Linked DNA regions of Rhinolophus ferrumequinum. The protein of the gene in region 1 binds, or shares a complex with, the protein of each later gene. Links are inferred from orthologs where the notes say so. Each region holds a gene or a part of one and is shown in the gene's direction. Other genes may lie near its edges.

The links.
Region 2: DPM2 (region 1) and PIGY share a complex: the UniProt entries of both Homo sapiens proteins name them as parts of the glycosylphosphatidylinositol-N-acetylglucosaminyltransferase (GPI-GnT) complex. The link is inferred for Rhinolophus ferrumequinum from reciprocal best matches to the Homo sapiens genes DPM2 and PIGY.
Region 3: DPM2 (region 1) and DPM3 share a complex: the UniProt entries of both Homo sapiens proteins name them as parts of the dolichol-phosphate mannose (DPM) synthase complex. The link is inferred for Rhinolophus ferrumequinum from reciprocal best matches to the Homo sapiens genes DPM2 and DPM3.

Annotation. Positions count from the first base shown.
Region 1 is NC_046295.1:76,946,026-76,954,401, reverse strand, and holds DPM2 (dolichol phosphate-mannose biosynthesis regulatory protein), read left to right. Parts: upstream 1-4,567; 5' UTR 4,568-4,635; coding exon 4,636-4,728; intron 4,729-4,931; coding exon 4,932-5,021; intron 5,022-6,021; coding exon 6,022-6,124; intron 6,125-6,893; coding exon 6,894-6,949; 3' UTR 6,950-7,594; downstream 7,595-8,376. UniProt on the Homo sapiens protein: Regulates the biosynthesis of dolichol phosphate-mannose. Regulatory subunit of the dolichol-phosphate mannose (DPM) synthase complex; essential for the ER localization and stable expression of DPM1.
Region 2 is NC_046288.1:42,455,229-42,462,003, reverse strand, and holds PIGY (phosphatidylinositol N-acetylglucosaminyltransferase subunit Y), read left to right. Parts: upstream 1-5,363; 5' UTR 5,364-5,400; coding exon 5,401-5,616; 3' UTR 5,617-5,759; downstream 5,760-6,775. Other genes in the region: PYURF (protein preY, mitochondrial), read left to right, coding at 3,424-3,623, 5,166-5,307. UniProt on the Homo sapiens protein: Part of the glycosylphosphatidylinositol-N-acetylglucosaminyltransferase (GPI-GnT) complex that catalyzes the transfer of N-acetylglucosamine from UDP-N-acetylglucosamine to phosphatidylinositol and participates in the first step of GPI biosynthesis.
Region 3 is NC_046305.1:210,743-217,620, reverse strand, and holds DPM3 (dolichol-phosphate mannosyltransferase subunit 3), read left to right. Parts: upstream 1-5,146; 5' UTR 5,147-5,295; intron 5,296-5,396; 5' UTR 5,397-5,401; coding exon 5,402-5,680; 3' UTR 5,681-5,750; downstream 5,751-6,878. Other genes in the region: SLC50A1 (sugar transporter SWEET1), read right to left, coding at 6,462-6,563, 6,645-6,764. UniProt on the Homo sapiens protein: Stabilizer subunit of the dolichol-phosphate mannose (DPM) synthase complex; tethers catalytic subunit DPM1 to the endoplasmic reticulum.

The DNA of each region.
Region 1 (8,376 bases):
CTGCCTCAAAGCATCATTCCATTGTCCCCCCATCTGTGCTGGGACCCTCCTGGCCCGGTGGGGCCCGGGCGCCACTGTGAATATTCTCTCTGAACCACTAAAGGGCAGGACACACAGGCCCATGAAGTAGGTGGGCAAGACAAAGATGGCCAGGATGCCCCGCTGGATACCGACATGCCCCCTGGATGAGGACATGCAGCGGCTCCTACACAGGGCTGCTTGTGGCCGAGGGGCCTCTTGCCATGTGTCCCTGCTTGCTCCAGGAGCATCCGCTCAGCCATGTCCTGGCCGGGCTTTGTTCCATGGCCCCCTTGCCCTGGGGGCGAGGGGGGGGCACTTCATCTCCAGAATCCTGCCACCGTGGCCCTCTGCTTAGTGCTTCAGCTATCCCTTCCCTGTGCCCTGGGGGTGCCGCTGGCGGCCTCCTCCTGGAAGCCAAGTCCTCAGACCCCACCTACATTCTAGACTGAGACCCCGCCCCCAACGAATGTTCTCCTGCTGCCCTGGCAGCCTGCACTTTGCACACGCTTGTCTTTAGCACAGCCCCGCTGGCCCTCGCCTGCCCTTCCTCTGATCCCTTCCCAGGGGTTCCTGGGTGCTGCCTGCTGTGCAGTCAGCGGCCCAGCTTTAGCAGCCCGGCTGGAACGGGGCACTGCCTCTCCTCCCTCCCGTCAGCTCCAGCTCAGGCCTGAGACCCGTGCCGAGAAGGTTCCCTCTGCCCAGGGCTGGGTCTCGAGCAGCTGGTTTCCTGTAGGAAGCCTGGAAGGAGCCTCCCAAGCCCGTGGAGGTCGGGGGCCTGACCGTGCTGGGCAAGCACTGCCCCATTTTTCCCCTCAGGGTCAGCTGGCCCTGGCCTGGGACCAGTGCTAGAGGGGCAGGTGGGCTGTGACCGGACTGGCTGGAGCTGGCTTCCTGGCCAGAAAAGCCTCAGCCCTCCTCTGAAAGCACCCCTCTCTTTGGGCAAGGGAGAGGCAGGCCCTTTAAGGGGGGCTTTTCCAGCAGGGAGCAGTCTGGCTCTGCCCCTGCGCCTTGCTAACGCCTCTGCTCTGAGCACTTTCCTCCCGGTCCTCGTTATTTGCTTGAAGGTGGGTTCTGGCTGCCAGCCAGCCTCTGGACAGACTCCCCTGCCACTCTTAATTTCACTCATCTTTGTATAAACCCAGCAGGCTGGTGTTTACTTGGCCCTATACTTTTTTTTTCCTTTCCTCTTTTTTTCTTTATTTCTTTTTCTTTTTTTTTTTTTTAGGGTTCACAGTTTGATATTTTCTCCTCCCCCAGGTGAGGGGAGGTGGTTCTGTTCTCTGCCCTACCCGCTGGCTGGGTCCCAGCAGGGCTGGGGATCTGGATGGAGAGCCAGGATACGGGTTCTCTCTCTCGTAGGGGTTAGGGTGGAGGTGCCCTCCCCAGGGTGGGAAGGGTCCTTTCTGCCCAGCTGACAAGAGTTGGAGTCATGGTCTTGGAGCCTCCTGGCATTGGAGTCAGAGCATTTCTAGGATTTTGTGGTGGTTGTTATTGTTTTAATCACCTAACTCTTTTAGAAAATGAATGTTAGAAGGTGCCTGCCGAGGCAGGATGGAGCATTTGCTCTGGCTGGAGAAGGCTCTGGTCAGCTCTGTGGGTCCCTTCCTGCCCCGTAGACACCTGGCACTTTAAAAGGGGACCAGCTGCACTGTCTCCAGATGAAGTGGCCCCCAGAAGACGGGGCAGTGCCGCTCTTCCCTCTGTCTGCATGACCTCAGCCCAGTGGGGAGGTGCATTCAAGGTGTATTTGGGGTCTGATTCAAGTTCTGGGGCTTTAGGCATAAAGCAGCTGGCTTTGGTGCTGTTGGGGAGACTCCCCCAAAACAGGAACCCCAGCCCCTCTCTAGGCGAGGTCTGAACTTGACAGTCACCCCAGAAGGAGACAGAGCCTGCCACATTCTCCCATGACAGGCCCTGGGCCGGGGTAATTGGACAACTGAAAATTCGGCCACAACCAAATTGATGGTGGCTGGAGCTGGAGTCCGGAAGCTCCGGCCTCATCCCCATATGGGAGCTCTATTCTTCGGCCCTCTGGTCCCTTCAAGCTCAGTGAATTCGCACTAGGCACCCACAGCTCCTGGACTTAAAAATTCTATATATATAGAGAGAGATAGAATATATTAGAGATATTTTTGGAAAGGAATTGGTCTATGCAATGCCAGTTTGGAATCTTCTTGGAAGACAGTTTTAACATTTTTACTAGGAGATTTAAAGAAAATAAATACAATATTTTTAGGTTATTTTTTTCTAGTCACCCCACAAACTGACCATAGGGCATGATCTGCCAGGATGGAGAATGTCTACGTTTTCCTCTCTTTAGGGAAGTGAGCAGGGAGATGGGGGGGAAGAAAGGTCTTTTTTTTTTTTTAATTCCCCTCTTATCTAACAATGTCGCCACCACCACACCCTAATTCAATGGGCTGTGTTTGTATCCGTCCCAGCTTCTATTGTAGAAAATAACATTGTAAAGGGAAATCAGCCTAGTCAGTGTCTTGGTTTGGGGGACAAAATTAAATGTTGCAGTTTTTGTTTGTTATGGCATGTTGGTTCTTGTTTGTTTGTTTTACCAACTTGACTTTAGGATCAAAGCATCAGATGGAAGCCAGATGTGTAAGGTGATGGTCGGGGGTGGGGAAGGTGTAGGTGGCCAGGGTTCTCCAAGTCCCGGTGCAGTCACAATTGTGACCACCTTTATTACACCAGAGTCCCGGACAGGAAACGGGCCCTGGAGAGTAGTTTCCTGCCAGTCTCAGACCTCAGAGCCCAAGTTCTAACCACTGCTCTACGGACCTCCGCAGTAGTCAGGTGGCTTTGAACAAGCATGCCTGAAGACAGAAAACTGCCTGTGCCTCAGTTTTCTCAGCTGCGGGCTGTGAGGCTGTGGATCAAATGAGAAAGTGGGTGTACAGCCTGACCTATGGGAGGTGCCAAGTTCATTCCCATCCTCTAAAGCCCCAAGCCTGCATTGTCTCCAGGCCTAGGCCCCTCATCCCTGCCCTGTCTCAAGTTACAGAGCAGCCTGCACCAAGCTCTGGGAAAGGCAAGTCGCCCTGGGCCTTTAATGATCTCAGAAGTGGCAGGAAACCTTAGCGGCTTTGAACGGGCCAGAAGGGACCAGACTACCAGGCCTCATCCCTGTCACAGCACTGCATATCCTCACCCCTTCTCAGGGCTGATGTCCAGGCTGATTCTCAGTCCCTTCCTTTGTTCAGTGCACACCTGGGGAGGGAAAAGTTGGCTCCTGACTAAGCCCAAAGTCTCCTGAGACAGAGGGAAGGAATTGGGCTTTAGGCCCAAAAGGTTGCTCCTTTGGAACACAGTCATGCTAAATGAAAAATCAGCATACCAAAGGGCAGGGAATAAAAAGGTTGCTCCAGCAGTTGCCATAGTCAGAGATGGGCTCAGATGACCCAAGGAGGCAGATGCTGCCAGCCAGGTTCAATCTCCACGTGCCCCTCCACCCCCCAAAATGGAGACAGCAGGAGAGCCTCCACACAACCCCTCAGAAGGCCTGGAGTCCTCAGATGCTGAAGGCTAGCATTCTAGGATCTAAAATGTCAAAGAATCTTAAAGCCAGTTGGTTGATTCAAAGCTCCTACTTTGTGCCAAGCCCCATTCTGGGCATTGGGGATACAGCAGTGACCACAGACCCTAGGCTCAGGGAGCTCACAGGTGGGCCACATCAAGTAAATCGGCTAATTAAAACGGTGCTGAGAAGCGTCATCATGGAGACACAGTTGGGGCTGTGGAACACAGAGGAGGGAACCCCCGTCAGGGAAGTTGACTTCCCTGGGATGTGTAGCCCTGATGAGTGAGGAACAACTAGCCCACTAGCTTTGAGGAGACAGTGTTCCAGATTCCAGAGCTGGAGAACACATCAAAGGTGATGAGGCCCAACCTCCCCTTGCTCTCAGAGGAACGGACCTCCAAGCCTGGAGAGGATCCTGCACACGCGGCCATTCCCAAGACCTGCCTGGACTGCTGCTAGCGCTGCCGCAACACCCAGGGCCCCAGAGGCAGACGGTGAGGGAGGAGAGGGTCACCCTGGCCTCGTCCCTGCAGTGAAGACAGGACAGGGAAGCCAGGCGCTGGTAAGGGGACGCCTACCCTTACAGCCAATCGAAATGAGCCCCATCGCAGCAGGCTTGGGCCAGCCCCTCCTCCTCCACCCCCAGCCGGGCGGTGAACATTTTTTGCACCCTTCCCTCAACACACATTAGGGCCTCGGGACCAGGAAATAACTGGCATGCACACGCCAGGTTCTGGTGTCGGCTTCACCACAGACACGAATTGTGATCTCCCGCAAGTCCTCGCCCGTCTCTGAGCCTCATCAGTTTCCCCATCTGAGAAATGAGACTTCCAACTCTCCCCTACCAGATCTCGCTCTGGCTTTGGGACTCTGGGATATTTAGAAATGGGCTTTTCTTCAGGGGCGAGTTCGACAGGACTGAGGCCACGAGTACCAGCCGGTCTGGGTTCCCAACTCGGTCCCATTCTCTAGGGAGATTCGGGAACAACTTGTTCCCCCATACCCTTGAGAAACTACATTTCCCGACATGCAAATGGGGAGGCGGCGCCTGCCTGTCTTGGGCAACGTAGTTCTGGGGCGGCCTTATGTTCGGCGACTCCCGGCGTGCCCCGCAGCCGAGGGCCCAGATGCGGAACCGGATGTGGCTGGCTGCCCCGGTGCGGAGCACCGGGGAAATGGTGAGTTTGTGGCAGAGTGCTGGGGTTGGGGATCCCTGGTTTGTTTAGGAGCCGGAGCTTGGGCACTCGGAACCAGATTGCTCTCCCGCCGGCTCATTGTACAGATAAAAACGCTGAGGAATCAGACTGCGACGCCGCCCCCCCACCCCAGTAGTGCACCTAAATAGAGGCACTTCGTCAATTGAGCCCTCCCTTTTCTCCAGGCCACCGGGACAGACCAGGTGGTGGGACTTGGCCTCGTTGCCGTTAGCCTGATCATCTTCACCTACTACACCACCTGGGTGATTCTCTTGGTATGTGTTCTTCCTCCGCCCTCTCTCACCTTCTCCCATTCCTGGGTCCTGCAGCCGACCCCACTGTGTTAGGTGCTTTACCTGAATATCTTATGAAATCTCCGGAACAACACTGTGAGGAGGATGCCAGTGGTATCCCCATTTTGTAGATGAGGAAGCTGAGGTTCAGGGAGAAGGGTCGGACTCAAGGTCGCGTTCTTAACCGCTGCAGTGTAAAGCCCTGTTCCTGATTTGCTTTCCCTTTGATGGGTCCAATCCTTCTGGTTATTCTGCTGGCTCCCGGGCATGGCAGGTGCCAGTGGCTTTCGTGAGGGCCTTTCGGATGTGTGTGTGGAGCAAGGGTTTGGTGGTTAGTACTTATGTGCAGTGTGTTTGGAGGGCAAAGTCTTGCAGAACTTGGTATCGTTTGGGGAAAATTGTCAGTAAAGAAGATCTTGGAGCCCAAATTGGGAATTAGTTGAGGATTCCTCGTGTACCCTTTGCCCTTGCTAAACTGTGAGGGCATTAGGGCAAGTCCTTCGACTTCTGTTCACTGCCAGGTCCCTAGCACCCACTTAGGGCAGGTACCAGTCAAGTGCACAGTAAACTACCGTGTTTCCCTGAAAATAAGACTGGGCCTTATATTAATTTTTGCTCCAAAAGAAAAATTAGGACGTGTTTTCAGGGGATGTCTTATTTTTTCATGTACAACAATCTACGTTTATTCAAATACAGTCATGTCATCTTCTAGAACATCGTCGTAACGTACTAAGTGCGCCTGTCTGGCTGACGATCTTAACTGGGGCTTATTTTCGGGGTAGGTCTTATTTTCAGGGAAACACAGTATTAAATAAATGAAGGAAGGAAACAAACCAAGGCATCCAAAATGCCATCTTAAACAGAAGCAAATGCTGTCCCAGTGCTTTGAGTGGGTCAGCCCGAGACAGAGGAGGTGGGATGTTGGCTTGGGGGGGCTGGGCAAGGCAGGGAATGCTCACTGGAGCTCTGCCCTCGATGCCAGCCATTCATCGATAGCCAGCATGTCATCCACAAGTACTTCCTGCCCCGAGCCTACGCCGTTGCCATCCCACTGGCCGCCGGCCTCCTGCTGCTCCTGTTTGTAGGTAAGTCATCATGCCACCAACCCTGGGCAGGGTGTCTCCCACCCCTCCATGTGTGGCCACACTTTGGCACTTGCTGTATGTCTGCTTGCGGCTCTTTGCCCCCAATTCACCCCCAGGGTTTTCCTGTTCATCCTTCAGGGCTGCAAGTCAGTCTTCCCATGCCTCAGGCTCTCATGGGATGTCTCCCTTTTTCCGGTTCGCTCCACCGGCATTGCTCTGCTCACACCTCAATCACCTCTCACCCCCTTGTCACCCAGGCTCATGGTTCCTGCACCTCTTTGTCTCCCATGGTTTAGTTTGTGGGCTTCCCAGGACTGGGGCTTTATCATGACTGTGTCCTCACAGGCTGTGGCACTAAGCTGGTGCTCAATAGAGTGGTTTGGATTAGTCAACAATCGGATGACTGGATGATGCAGTCGGTGGGTGGATGCTGGATGTTGAGTGGGCAGGTGGGTGGGTGGATAGGTGGGTGGACAGGTGATGGATTGGGTGAGTAGATGGATAGCTGGGTGCAACTTGTACCCCATAGAATCTGAGAGACTAAATGTAGCAAACTGCCTGTGGCAGGCACTCAGTGGTGTGTTTCGAATGAATGTGGGTGGATGTGTGGCTTGATGGATGGCTAGGGAGATGACCAGGTGGTCTGGAGGGTGGTTGGGAGGGGCTTGGTCCCCTGTATGTGTCATTGTGCCATGCCATGCCCTGCTCTGGCCTTAACAGCAGCCCTGAGCCCCGATCTTATCTGGTCTTTCTGGTCTGTATATTCCAGGAGTGTTCATCACCTATGTGATGCTGAAGAACCAGGTGACCAAAAAGGCTCAGTGAAAGCCCAGCAGGGATGAGGCTGCTGGCCCCTTCTCTGCTTCCCCGCAAGGGCATACCAAGGGCAGGGGTCCACAGGACCTATTCAGGCACTGTGGCGCCCTCAAACCTGGCTGCTCTGCAGACACCCTGAAGGATGGAGCTGTTCAGAACTCACCCCTGACTGACAAGAGCACCCACTGCCCTGCTCACCTTTCCAGAAGCTAGGAGGGAGGAGTACCTGAAGTCTCCCTCTCTCCCCCTTCCGGCTCAGGGCCTGAAAGATGCTAGTCCTCCCTGCCTCACCTTCAGACTCTGTCATTTGTTTTCCTCTGGTTCCACCCTCTTGCCTCAGTTTCCCTCCTGTTACCTGCTGATACTGGATTTGGCAGGTTCTAAGACATCACATGACCTCTCCTCACATGTCCTCCTCCATGAAAGCAGCTTTCCCGGGTCTGACATAGCCCCAGATCCCACAGGACTTCTGGACCTGGAACACCTAGGCGGGGGGACAGACAGGCCCCAGGACCACCGCCAGGCCTCAGGGCGCATTAGAGTGGCCACACTGGGCCCCCAGACCTGCTGCTCGTCATGGAGACCCAGCCCCTCAGTCCTGACACTGGCCTTGGCCTGCTGGGGAGAACTGAACAATAAATGTTTTGGTGTGTTTGTTTCTGTGGCATCCCTGACCAGGAGAGCTGGGCTGCTTGTAGTCCGGAGAGGGTCTAGGAGCTGGCCTCGCACTAGTCTCAGGTCAGGAGACCCTGGTTTGTGCAATGAGGTGCCTCAGGTGCCTCCTGGATCGTCCCTATGCTGGACACGGGATCAGGAGGGAACTGGGACAGATGTGGTTTCAGCTTGTTGCAGCTCATGGCTGGGGAGTCGGTGGAGGCATGGCAGGCTACCAGACCCCATGTCAGCCTCCACCATGCCTCCCCTGTGCCAGCCCAGCCAGCGTGCACTAGGACTTTAGGGAGCCTCAGGCCAGGTCCCTAAAAGCTTAAGCCTGTCCATCCCTCGTACCAGCAGCCGCACTTAGTAGTAGCAATGAGCAGTGAGAGCTGCTACTGAGCCAGAGCAAAGTTGGTTCCATTGTATTCAGGTTGACTGGTCTGGCACAGGCCCCGGCCCTGGCCCCCCAGCAATCCCCCTGAGCCTCTCTGGGCAGCCGGCTCTCCCATTCACAGTGCCTAACGTAAGCCTCCATCCCATCCCACCTTGGAGTTCGCTCTTCTTCCGGTTAGTGGAGGTGTCACCTTCCCAGAACAGGCCAACTGCAGGCATATCTGCCCTGTCCTTTCCCCATCCTCCAGTCCAGGCAGAGCTGCCCACCTGGGCTGTGGGTCCTGTCCTCTCCCACTGCTATAGCAGGAGCCTCCTGTTTCTATGATCCTCCTCTCGTGGGAAGAGCCTCTGCTTCTCAACAAGGTCCTCGCTGCGTTTCATGAGCA
Region 2 (6,775 bases), on another chromosome or scaffold:
AACACAAAGGGGAGAAAGGAGAATTCAAATCTTTTGCTTCCTACCTGGCTGATTAGCTGCGACATCTGTCTTCTGCCGCTGGACAGGGATTTATTTACACCATTCGCTCCACTAGACCTTCGGACCAGATTAGATTTACGCCACCAGCTTTCCTGGACCTCCAGTTTTCAGACAGTAGATTGTGGGACTTCTCAGTGTCCTTAATCATGTGACCCAATTTCTCATAATAAATCCCTTTCTGTATATTTCCCATTAATTCTGTTTCTCTGGCGAACCGCGACTAATCCAGACAGTACCTGACACTTAGTGAGCATTCAATAAATTAATAAATGAATGACCAACATTAAGAATTATATTTTAAACATATTTATTATGTTATAGGTGAGAAATGCAAACTTCTTTGATGTTCAAAATTTGCATTACTTTACTATTGAGGATGAATATTTTCTATGTTTTTATTAAGCAACTGTATTTTCTCTTTCATGAATTTTTTTCATATTTTTGTCCATTTATTGGACGTTTGTTTTTAATGTACTCATTACAATTGCAACTTATTAATAAATATTTTGTGATTTTTGTTCCTAAAATAGATGTTATCAAATTAAGGAAACTGTCAACATAAAGGCAAATCTTCATAATCACAGAAAGAAAAGTACAAGCAGAAATAAATGTTAGTTCAAATACTGAATGATGCCATCTAGTGGAACACTGATTTTAACTTACTCTCTGGATCAGAGTCCGTAATTTCAATGCCCCCAAATTTAGTATTTATGGGACTTTATTAAAATATGTATTCTACATAGCCTCTCCTCTGCCTGGAGATTTTTAACTCATTTAATGTATAGAATAGCCCAAGAGTGTGTTTCAATAATATTCACATTGGAAACTATAAAAATTCCATGTTAGTTAAAATTAAGGTGATACTTTATGCTTTCCTTTTTCATCAGCATTTTCACCAATTTCACCATAATAAGTAATTTTGCTGCTGATAACATTCTTTTAAATGAGTAGTCTATGCCAGCCCCTGTGCTAACTGCTTTACTTGTATTATTTTATTTAATCCTCCCAACAGCTGTAATAAAGTAGGTACTATTATAATGCTACAGCCAGGTGTACCTGGGAGATATCACAGGTTTGGTTCTAGACCACCATAAAAAAACAAGTATCATAATACAGAGAGTTGTAATCTCGCTGGTGGAAGGTCTTGCCTTCAGTTTGTAGAAAATGCAACATCTGTGAAGCATAATAAAGCCAAGTGCAATAAAACCAGGTATGCCTATATTTTAGACGATTGAGGCAGAGAGTTTAAGTATCTTCCCCAAGGTCACACAGCTAATACGGTACCTGAGCCCATAGCCCATCGTGTTATTACATGTGTGTACAGGGCTCTGTGATAAGGAAGATCATAGTCACACCAATAGTCAAAAAAAAGACTAATGATTTTACAATTCTATACTGTCACCTACCTTCAGCTTAGTATACTACATGCAAAACTTAGTTGCATTCCTTAATTACTGAGAGCCGTTAAGGAACATTTTGCTTTGACATTTTGCAACTTGTATTTACATGGTTTGGATTAATACACTTTTATGTTCCTTACATATTAGTTGTAGATTTTTGCTGCTATAAATTTGAAGATGTTTTCAGTACTTTGCTGTTACTCTCCATTTTTCCCCAATACTAATATAAATGAAAGTAAACTGATCTGCTTCAAGCCTTCTATGTGGAGGCAAACTGAAACTAATTTATTTATAACTGGTTAGCAAATCCAGTTGATAGGGATCTGTCAGGCAGGCCAGGCAGCTGAGGCTAACGAAGCTGGCCTTAACCACGCATGCCTGCCCCTACCCACACCTAGCCTGCCCAGCCTGGCCTGGCCCACTTAGTGCTGGCAGAAATCAAGCTCTGCTTCCCCATACCTCACTGAAACGTATCTTTCCTATAATTCACTCTCTCCCTAGGGCCCACAGTATCAACTAACTACAAACTGAAAAATTAATTGCTGCTACTGCCCTCGGAGGAAATAATGTGACGATAACATAGGAACTTTGAAATTGTCCTTCCTGAGGCTACAAACCTGACAACTGCCCTGAGCTGAAATCTTCTGAACACTAGTGAACAAAGGGTGTTAAATAATGTAGTAGATTTTAAAAAATAGAGTGAGCAAACAATGTAAAATTTTCTCAGTTTATTGTTACATTGCTGAGTGGAAGAGAAGTTTGTGTATGTATATCCCTCACCCTCATTCCTACCTCCCAGGAGCTCAAAGTGTGAAATGGTAAAGCCCATTGATGTCAAGAAGGTTCAAGTAAATATTCAGCAAAACAAAGGGGGAAAAATGATGACTAACAAAAAATCTTGTAGTGTATTGAACTGGGAAGAACAGAGGAAATAAAAATAACAATAGATAACATTAATTGAGCATTAATTTGTTCCAGGCAATTTTCTAAATGTTCGGAATGCATTAGGACATTTTAATCCCCACAAGGGGATTTCATTAGGTAGGTATAATTATGAATCTTATTATACAGATAAGAAACCTGAGTAATTAAGTCATTTGCTGGAGTCACTTAGCTGGTAAACTATGGACCTGGAACCAAACTGTCAGGCCCCAGAACCCCAAATCCTTATCTACTAAACCGTAAGAAAGAGATCAAACCTATATCAATTCCTTGGAGAGTCAGAGACAAATATAGGGCGAAAAATCCACTAAATGGATCACCCCCTTAACTAATGGACATCTGCATGATCACGCAGTTATTTAGAGTCCTCGATGTCTCCAAGCTCATTTATACAAGTAAATTAATTGTGAGTTATTATATAATTGAATTCATGAATCCCTCAGGGTAAGAATCTGGATGTCTTGGAACGTTAACAAGACCAAGCCATTCTTTTCAGGTTCTTAAATCTTTTTAAATGAGAGAAGAAAAAGAAATTTGCCAAACACGGTTACAGGAACTGTGATATAATAAAGATTTACATAAAACAAATTAATGCTTTTAACATACCCAACATGACAGTGTTTGAAACTTCATTTGGGAGATAACCACATAGGTCCAAGACTAATAGTGTGTGACTGTGAAGTCCGGCCAATGTTTCCTGGCAGCCTGCGACCGTTTCTGGTGAAAACTCAAGGAACCCCGACTTATGCATTGGTTTTGTTTGTAAATGGTAAACGCGGTGGAACAGCCACCAGACGCCTCCGGTAGCAGGTCACGCTCAGCACTCTTATCGAGCAGTGCTGCGGCTAAAAGCAGTCGGGAGTGCCCACGGAACCAAAGCGCTCGGCCCCGCCTGCCCGGGGCTGAGTTTCCAGAGCACCGGGGGGCGGGGACTGGCCTGTCGGCTGGAAGTGCGGAAATCGCCTAGAGCGGCCCGAGCTGGCGAAGGGCGCGGTGAGAGGCGGTCGCGGGCTGCCAGACCATGCTGAGTGGAGCGAGGGGCAGGCTCGCCTCAGTGCTGCGGCAGACACGCGCGCCGTCGTTCGTGGTCGCCCGTAGGTGCCTGCGCGTGTCGAGGTCGCGGTCGTCGGCGGACGGGAGTGAGAGGGGGAAAGTGCCCCAAGCTTTCGACCCGGCGCTGCTGGAGTTCTTGGTGTGCCCGCTCTCCAAGAAGCCGCTCAAGTAAGATTAGCCGGCTGCGTTTCCTTTCATGGCCTCCCATTGCGGGGAGGAGGCAAGGGGACCGCGCGGCCGCTTGCAGCCGTGGGGGAGCCTTTCAGGTCAATCCGGGTAGTCTCCGCTGCCATTTTCTGGGGGCCCGCCAGTTCCCACGCATCTCCCTCTGTGGCAGGAAAGGCGGGAGGAGAGCCAAGCCCCAGGCCTCCCAAATCCAACCGCCGACCCGCAGGCCTGAATAGAAACTTAGAGGTTCGCCACGGACTGGGCGTTAGAATTGCCGGGGTACCTTTTAAAAGTGTAGATTCCCAGGCAATATCCCAGGCGACCGAGTCGGAAGGTCTGAGGGCAGGGCCTGAGCAATTCTGTATTTTCTTAGAAAGACGCAAAGTGTATAATCTAATACACAGCCAGGTTTATGAAGTAGTGGGATTCAGGAGTAGTCCATAGCATTCACGTTTTTAAGCCAAGATGATGGAAAAAAAAATACCGTAGTAGCCTCCAGATTCTTGTGAAAATGTCTACAACTGATGCCTGACTATCTTAAGCGTGTAAACTACGTGTGCTGCCCTTTGGCTTTTAGTTCTGGACTAGCTGGTTTTGTAAAGGCCTCCTTAACCTTTAGCTTACAATCCTTAGGATAAACAACTACAGTTCCAGGTTGCTAAAACTGAATTTTGACAACACGAGTATTGCAGATTGAATATACTGAACATCAAGATGTTATGAGTGGCTAGCTTTGGGTGGTAGATTGCTAATAATTTTAATTTTCATCTTTTTGCATTTCTTTCTAAATTTTTCCTATAATTAACATACTCAATTTTCTTAAACCTTCAAATTATCATTTGATCTACCTTTTAGCTAATTGTGTAACTAGCTCACTGCAGATTGGTTTTCCAATTTTCTCATTTCTGCCTTTTCAGCTTTCACAAACTTTTGTGTACTTTGATTTTTCAGAGGTTTTCTTCTAATGGATCAGTTAGGCTGCTCTAGTACGCCTGTATTCTAAAACAAGGAAGTTGAAATTTTCTCTGTCCCAGTAGTAAATTAACTGGGACGGTTTTGGAGATGACCAGAGTAATGAAGGAATGTTTGGATGAAAAAGGGAGAGCTTTTCTGACTGGTATTTTAAAAAATTAAGGCGTAGCTTGCGAATAAAGTGAAAAAAATATGAGAAACTGACTAAAATGGGAACGATTAGAGATTCATTTTCTATGAGAAATGGTTTGACTATTGCTGCTTGTAGAATTAAGTTTTTTTGTTTTGTTTTGTTTTTCTTTTTTAATTTATTGGGGTGACAATTGTTAGTAAAATTACATAGATTTCAGGTGTACAATTCTATAATACATCATCTATAAATCCCACTGTGTGTTCACCACCCAGAGTCAGTTCTCCTTCCATCACCATATATTTGATAGAATTAAAAGTTTAATTCTGCTTTTCTGGGATTAACTCTGAAGAATTGGATAAACAGTGGTGTTTATTAAACATCAAGCTCTTCCAAGCATTTTGTTTTCCACGATTCATTTTATTTTTCTTTTCCCTCAGATACGAAGCATCAACAAATGAATTGGTTAATGAAGAATTGGGAATAGCCTATCCAATTATTGATGGGATTCCTAATATGATACCACAAGCTGCTAGGATGACACAGCAAAATAAGAAACAAGAAGATACGGAGCAACACTAGATCATAATTAAAAACAACAAACACAACTAAATTTTCTTAATACCATCTACGTTTTAAAAAGTCAGGGTGGCAGGTAATAAGTGGAGGAGAAGAATGTTTCTCTCTCTTCCTGTGTTGACTGTCCTTATTCCATTGGTCTCTTTAGCAGGACTGTTCTACTCGGCCTCTGTGGAAGAAAACTTCCCACAGGGCTGCACCAGCACAGCCAGCCTGTGCTTTTATAGTCTGCTCTTACCCATTACTGTACCAGTTTATGTGTTCTTCCACCTTTGGACTTGGATGGGCATTAAACTCTTCAGGCATAATTAATGCAGCTAGAGCCCAGATGGTACATACATTAATGCTATGTTGAGTGTCTATATCTGAAAGCTCAGCTGTATGGAAATACCAGGCACACGCCTAATTTGTAGGAAAGATGCTTTACCTTACTTCTGTCAGACTTAGGACTATGGGATCTAATTTATAACGGCTATGTCAGAAGAAACATTTCAACAAAAGTGTGTTGTTTGAAATTATAGTCCTGACCATCATCTGATGACTTTATTTCTTACCCCATTCATCTGAAAGTTCATTTGAAATTTTATGTTTTAGAGTAGAAGTCTTTGGTAAAGTCACGTTACAGATGACTGCAGTAAATTCCACCAGAGCTATGTTAGAATAGTTGGAGAGAAACGCATTTGAACTAGTGTGATATAAAACTACAATAAAGTGGAAATTTTATGGACTTGCAGAAATTCTGAGTTTGTAAAATTCATTTCTTTGGTATCAAATGCTTACATTACTAATAAGACAACACTTTTCCATAAAAGTTTTCATGGTTTTGTATATTTTGTTTTTGGTCTCAAGAATGTGGGTCTAAGGAAGGGAAAAGTGAAAAAGTATTCTAAAATTTAAAATGTAGGCTATTTTTAGACACTTAATAGCCAAATAGAATAATTTCCCAGGAAAGTATGTACTTTTGGAGGTAGAGGTAGGGTTAGAAGACTTGCAAATAGCTGTGTCCTATTGCACTTACAGCTGTGTTTTGAGCCACATTTTAGTTTATTTTCCTGCCTTAGGAGACCTGTTTAGCACTACTAAGGGCATGAGTATCAGAGACATTAATAGTTCCTGATTTTCCAGAACTTTCAACAAGACTGATAGAGAATAGTACAATAACTATTTTAGAGGTATAACAAATGTTTCAGTAGTTACCCTAAAGAAACTAAGAATTGAATATACTAAACTTAATTGATTCTTACTAGAATCTTAAAGTAGTTTAACAGAAGCTTTAGACAGTGATTCTTATCCATCAAAAGAACGTGAAACCATGCCGTAAAATGCAATACAGCTTTGTTCTCATCCACTGAGTACTGTTAATGGCAATATGATACAGACCCCAAATACAATTGTATACATACTGTTTTATAATTGTTCTGCAAATCAGTTAAAAAGTGTGCATTTACATTTCCTTTACTGGTGGCTATTG
Region 3 (6,878 bases), on another chromosome or scaffold:
CTTCTCCCTCCTTCACCTCATTCAGGTTTTCTTGCAATGTCTCCTTCTTAGAGAGGCCCTTCTGACTGTGCTCTGTAATAGTACACTCTGCTGCCCTTTAGCCACTTACCTGCCTATGTTTTTCTTCACAGCACTTCTCACTACTTTATATCTTAAATATTTGCTTGATTGGTTCTTGTCTGTCTCCCAGCACTTCATAGAATCTGCCTGTTTTGTTCATAGAACACTGCTTGATGTCTAGTAGGTTCTCAATACATATCTGTTAGAAGAAGAACCAGGAACCCCTTCAACACACCACTGCCACAGCTCTTAGTTAAAGCTAAGCTCCCAATTACTGAATCCCCAGAATCAGCTGCCAGGCCTGTTCCTGGTCCTTCCTCCCTCAGGCTATCTTCTTGTCCCATCTTGGTCTCCTCTCCCCTACCAGCACCCAGCCCTTTCTCCAATCAGCTGCACCATCTCGGATCTACCATTGCCTCCTAAAGCCTGGCTGTAATTTTGAGAGTGTGTGTTTTGTTGATTACAGGTGTGTCTGTCCTGTGGCCCCAATGGAATGGTGGGTGCCCTGAGGACAGGAATGCAGTCAACACAACCTGACCACCTGGAACCTTTCCAAGGACCAGTAATAACCTTGGCACCTGTGGGCACACAGAAAGCTCTACTGTCTGACATGATACACACAAGCACATATGGGGGTCACCTACTCCTCTAAGGGGTGAAGCTGCTGACTTGAGGGACCAACCCCCACGTCCCACCCCCCCCCCACACACACACACAAATACTTTGAAGGGGTCTTTAACAGCCTGGCCTGCTTTTCCAGCTTCATCTCCTGCCGCTCCCCAGGAAGCCGTCTTTGTCCCAGGGACAGCCACAGAGGATTACTCACCAGACTCTCAGCCTGTGTGCCTTTGTTCACGCTTTCCCTTGGGCTCGCATGCCCCACCCCCTCACCTGAACAACTCTTAGTCATCTTTCCAGTATCAACTCAGATGTCAAGGGCTCTCTGAAGTCTTCACACACACACACCAGCCCTGTCAATTCCCTCCTCTGTGCTGTGTTGTATGTAAGTTTGCAACTTCCCCCATCTTCTGTGCACTTTAGAATAAAAGCTACCAAATTTGGAATTTGTCTCCCTCTGAAATCAAAGCTTGCAAAAACAGAAAACCCCCACAAACATGAGCGTCGCCATCTTCAGAAGGAATACCTCAGAAAATGGTTTGGGAGTGATGGGAAGGAGGCTGGGGAAATACTGCAGGAGCAAAGGGGCCTCCTCAGCCCTGAGCTGGAACTCATGACAGTGATTCATAACAAGAACAAGACTAACACTTACTGGGTGCCCCCCAAATGCCGCACATTGTTTTAAGTACCCAACCTACCTTATTTCCTTTCATCTTGAAAGCAACCCTACGAGAGAGAGGATCAGTTATTGATTCCATTGTGCAGCTGAGAAAACTGAGGGTCAGAGAGGTTAAGTTACTTGCCCAACGTCACATAGCTAAGTAAAGGACCCAAGTCTGGAAAACTGGGCCCTAAAAGCCCACATTTAAAATCCCCAAGCTGTGCTGCCCCTCATCCCCTGCTCTAATCATGTGTACTGTGCCCTCTTGTAACAGCAGAAGGGTGATTGATGGTCTGCAAAAGATTGGCAAGCAAGAAGCTGGACCATCAGAAACTGCTGGCTTTTTTTATTTTATTTTATTGGGGAATGTTGGGGAACAGTGTGTTTCTCCAGGGCCCATCAGCTCCAAGTCAAGTTGTCCTTCAATCTAGTTGTGGAGGGTGCAGCTCAGCTCCAAGTCCAGTCGCTGTTTTCAATCTTAGTTGCAGGGGACGCAGCCCACCATCCCATGCAGGAATTGAACCTTGTTGTTGAGAGCTAGCACTCTAACCAACTGAGCCATCCAGCCGCCCCCAGAAATGGCCGGCTTTCGTCCAGGGCTAGCCAAGGCCAAAGACCCTGTCCGTGTTTGGCAGATGACAGTGTCTGGAGTAGTTATATTTCCTGGGACCAGGAAAGCTGAGTCAGTTTCCCTGGAGACCGTCAGATGCTAATCTGTCCTTCCCTCTGCCCTTCATCTTACATTTACAGGCCTGCTGGGTTTCCCACACTGTGCTTGGTCCTGGAGATACACTGGTCCTGGGCGGACCAAGCAGGGAAACAACAAACCTCCAGCTGGATATGGTAAGTGCCATCTAGAAAAGAGGCTATGGGAGCTCAGAGAAGGAAGATGGTGAACAACGCTGCAAGACAAGGTCAAGTGCCAGGAAGGCTGGTTGGAGGACCTGATGCTTAAGCTCAACATTAGAGAAATATGTGCCCACATTTTCTTGTGGCATTATTAGGGTTTCACTTTTCACATTCAATTTTTTTGTTGTTGTTTAAATGGGGCACAGCTCACAGTGATCCATGCGGGGATCGAACCGGCAACTTTGATATTACTAGCACCACGCTCTAACCAACTGAGCTAATCAGCCACACCCACATTCAATATTTTTTCATGCACTAGGAATTAATTTTGGTGTAAGATGTGAGGTTGAAATCTAACTGAATTTACTTTTTCGAATGGTAACCTAGTTGCAAATGGTTTTCAAGCAACTCATCTTTCCTTACTCTCTTGAGTTGCCCTCTCTATCGTATACTAAATTGGTATATGTTTGATCTGTTTCTTCACTTTTTATTCTGTTCCGTTGATCTCAGGAGGGAGGTACTAGATTGCAGTGGCAGGGCTTGCAGCTCTAAAGTCAGATTATCTGGGGTGTGCCTCAGTTTCCTCATTTGTGAAATGGAGATAATAATAGTTCCTATTTCATATGATGGCTGTGATGACAGAATGAGATAATGCACAGAAAGTACTCATTACAGTGCTTGGCAGAGTAATCCATCAATGAATGTCAGCTGTCATGGTGGTTACTATGATGGTTCCTGCCCACCCCTGGGCCAGGAACTCAGGGGGGTGAAATTACTAAGCACATACCTTTGAGCTAATGGGACAGCTCTGCTTCTGCTACTTACTATGCATGACCTCAGGCAAGGTACTCACCTTTTACTATCGCTCTCTGTTCTGGTTTCCTCACTCTTACATGGAGATATAAAAGTACCTACGGCGGCGTGTATATAAAACATGAGTGTTGGACAGGGCATGACACATAATGGCCCCTCAATGAATGTTTACTCTTCTTCTGCAGATTATTATTACAACGTTATAATTTATTAGGTGTCTTTATGTGTTGTAGTCCCTTCTCATTATCTTCCCCCCAAAAATGTTCTGGGGAGTGGCAGTTGTTCAGAGCCAGGTCTACTGTGGGTGAATAAAACAGAATTTCCGGGTCTGCCAAGCTGTTGCCTAGCCCCTGGCCTGTGCTGAAAGTAGCTGAGACCAGTGAGGTCTTGAGTGAACAACCAATAGGATTTTGGGGGGAATGGGGAAGGGAGGGGGTGGGGCTTTGAAATTCCTATAGCAGGTTTTCAAAAATGTTTTTATTTTGTCTTAATTCTTACTTTAACAAAGGAATTTGCATAGTTTAAAAAGCCAACATTTCTGCAAGGCATTTAATGAAAACTCAGCCTCCTGCTCCACTCTCCCGCCCCTACACACATGCCCTTTCATAAACCATTCTCAAGTTTCTTGGCGGCTTCTTTTGGTATGTCCCTCTTCATTTCTAAATAATATGCTTATATTATTATCTTTTTTTCTATTTTAGATATACTCAGTTGACTGCCTGCCATGGACGATGAGGATGTAGTTCTCTCCCCACCTCCACCCTCTCACTTCAAATGTATTGCAATTTTTAGTTAACTCAGTCTCTCAGTGTTCACATTATTATGGCTGTGAAAATATTCTTCACAGCTGAGTTATGTAGTGTTTGTACGAAGACTCCGTAAGTCTGTAAAAACTGCTTTTGTTAATCAACATGAAGGACATAGGGCTGAGAAACTTCATTCTCTAAAATCATGGTCATAAACTTTGCTGTTTAAAATCAGTGAGAATGGAACGTCCCACTCTTGCGTGGAGGTCAAAGCCAGGTGGATTACTTTGGCACAAAGCAGCAGCGATTTCCAACATGGGTGCCAAGCTCCAGATAATGGGGTTTTGGACACAACAGTCTAGATTCATCTTAATTGTGTTATCTATTACATAATTATCTACAATTAATTATCTTAATTTTGTTTGCCAGGTGGACCCTCAGTCCACTTCTCAGGCGAGGCTTGCTGTTGATTCCCTCACTTACGTCCATGCTTACCTTGAACCTATCAAAACACTGCTTTATTTCAGTATTACCTAAACTCCACCTTTCCCACATCCTGTAAGGAACCTGTTTTTTCCTTTGACGAGCCGCTCCTCAGCTCTGCTGGTGTGTGGGCTCTCTCTTGGAGCAGCAAGTTAATAAGCCTAACTCTGTCCAACATACAGTATGTTCCTACTGGTCTTTATCAGGCAGGTTTTTATCAGTTCTTTCTTTCCGTGCTTTTATAGCTGTTTCCCTGAAGTTGATAATTGCCTGACCTTTGCTTTTATTTGGTTTTCTATATACCTATCAGAAACTCATCCACCAAGCTCTTTGAAAGATGTGTGGACCTTCCCTCAATACCTTAAGTGTGTCAGGTAATTCCTCTGTCCCCAAACTTTTTTCTCTAAAGACGACCTCCCGGAGCCCTTCTTCCCCTGGCTCCAAGCTGTACTGGTTGCTCCCCTGCGTTCCTTTTGAAAAATATGACCACCTTTGTCCTAACACCTATCTCAAGCAGTGGTCAATGCATCTGTGTACCTGACTCCTCCTTCCCACCTCCGCCCCAGGAGGGGCCCAGTACCTTGATATCTCTATTTCTCCAAAACCTATCATGGAGCTCAAGAAACGTTCGAATGCATGAATAAAAGAACAGATAAAAGAATGAACCAGTGGGATTTCTCTGTAGAAGTGAAGTTTAAGAGAAACGACGTTACATTCCCATTTTGTTGCAAGGTTTATCAGTGGCCTCAGGCTTTCTGCAAGCCCCACGCCAGCTTGGAGCGGGGTCCTGAGGGAGAGAAGCAGCACCGACAGCCCTCAGGACCCAAGGCGGTTTGCAGAGCAGAGCCAGCTGAACTCAGCTCAGCGAAACGGCGCGGGCCAAGAGCACTCCGAGCGCCACCACGAGGACTACAACTCCCAGAAGGCCGCGCGGAGGCGGAGCGCGAGCCGCGGAGGACTCCTGGACGTGACGTCAGAAGTGCGCGGAAGGGGAAGCGCGGCAGAGTACGTGCAGCTTGAACGCTGAATGAGGTGGGCGAGAGAGATGGCGGAGCGGTGCTGAGGGTAGGTGAAACGGGGCGGGGTAGTGAGGGGTGGAATGGGTCTCGGATGAAGTGAGGGTCGCGAGGCGGAAGGACCTCGAACTCTGCTTTCTCTTCCCGCAGCGACCATGACGAAATTAGCGCAGTGGCTTTGGGCACTGGCGCTCCTGGGCTCCGTCTGGGCGGCCCTGACCATGGGAGCCCTGGGCCTGGAGCTGCCCTTGTCATGTCGGGAGGTCCTGTGGCCACTGCCCGCCTACTTGCTGGTGTCCGCCGGCTGCTATGCCCTGGGCACTGTGGGCTATCGCGTGGCCACTTTTCATGACTGCGAGGACGCCGCCCGCGAGTTGCAGAGCCAGATACAGGAGGCCCGAGCCGACTTAGCCCGCAGGGGGATGCGCTTCTGACACCCTCACCCCTTGGCTCCGGGACAGCCCGCCCCTCTGTCCCCCATTAAAGAGCGCGCTTACTCCCTAACTTTGTTTTCAGTTTGAATATGGGGAATGGGAATTGGGGCTTCTGTGTACCAGCTGTGGAGAAGTGAGAGGCGGGCGAGCCACCTTCCTGAGGCCATTTGAGCCTTTATGTTTGCAGCCTGCTGGTGTTTCTGCTTTTTGCTCCAAAGGAGACAAAGACCCCCTTCTCTTCTCAGGATGGAGATGTTTTTCACATTTCTGGTCCTTTTGACCCTGTCAGGAAATATTTGAAGCTGAACTTACCAGCTTTTTCACAATATCCAAGCTCTGTTCTTTTTAAGGCCTTCCTAGGTCACCCCTAGGTTGCTCTTGGTTCTTTCTCCTTCTCTGCTGAGCCAACCTAATCAGCCCAAGAGTAACTGTGGATCTGGTCGTGCACCTCTACCCTTCACCCAACCAGGCAGGTTGAGAAGCACTGAAGAGCCATGATGGGCAGGGATAGGGAACAGTTTATTTTAAGGCACATTCTAAAGATTTCACCCCAACCCCAAAATTAAAAAATATAATTTCCGAAAAATAAGTGTTTCATCTCCCAGGGCCCGCGCAATCTTCTAAGTAAAGCTCTTTCTTTGGTCTCTCAATTCAAAGTTGTCTCTTTTTCTTGCCCATAACCCATGGCACCTGTGAAACTGGTCAGCAGAAACAGCTGAAAGAAGGAGCTCTCTTTGGTAACAGGTGGGCATTAAGGTGCCCCGTGGTCAGGTGAACTGCCTCAGGTCTGCAGGAGCTGATAATTCCTGTCTTGTGCCTGGGGGTATTTCCAGAAAAGCCAGAGGCGAATGAAGCTGGTTAGGATTCCTGGAAGGTTGGGTACCTGGAACCACAAGGGCTGCAATGAGGCAAGGAGCTGATTTCCCACCTTGTACACCTGTCAGCCCATCCTGGTGCTGCTTACCATGATGTAGGGATCTCTGAGTCGAAACCCATAGAGGGTCCAGGAGGCAGAGGCAAGGAGGGTGGCAATGGTGAGTGAGAAGGAGAGACGCTGGGTCGATTTAGTCTGAATAACTTTGGCCTGTTGGAAAGGATGAGAGACACTCCTAGCCCAGACGCAATAAAGCTCCCACGTTGCCTGAGAATTTCCTCGGAAAAAAGGTCAAACATGCTCCCTGATCTTGTCACCCAACCT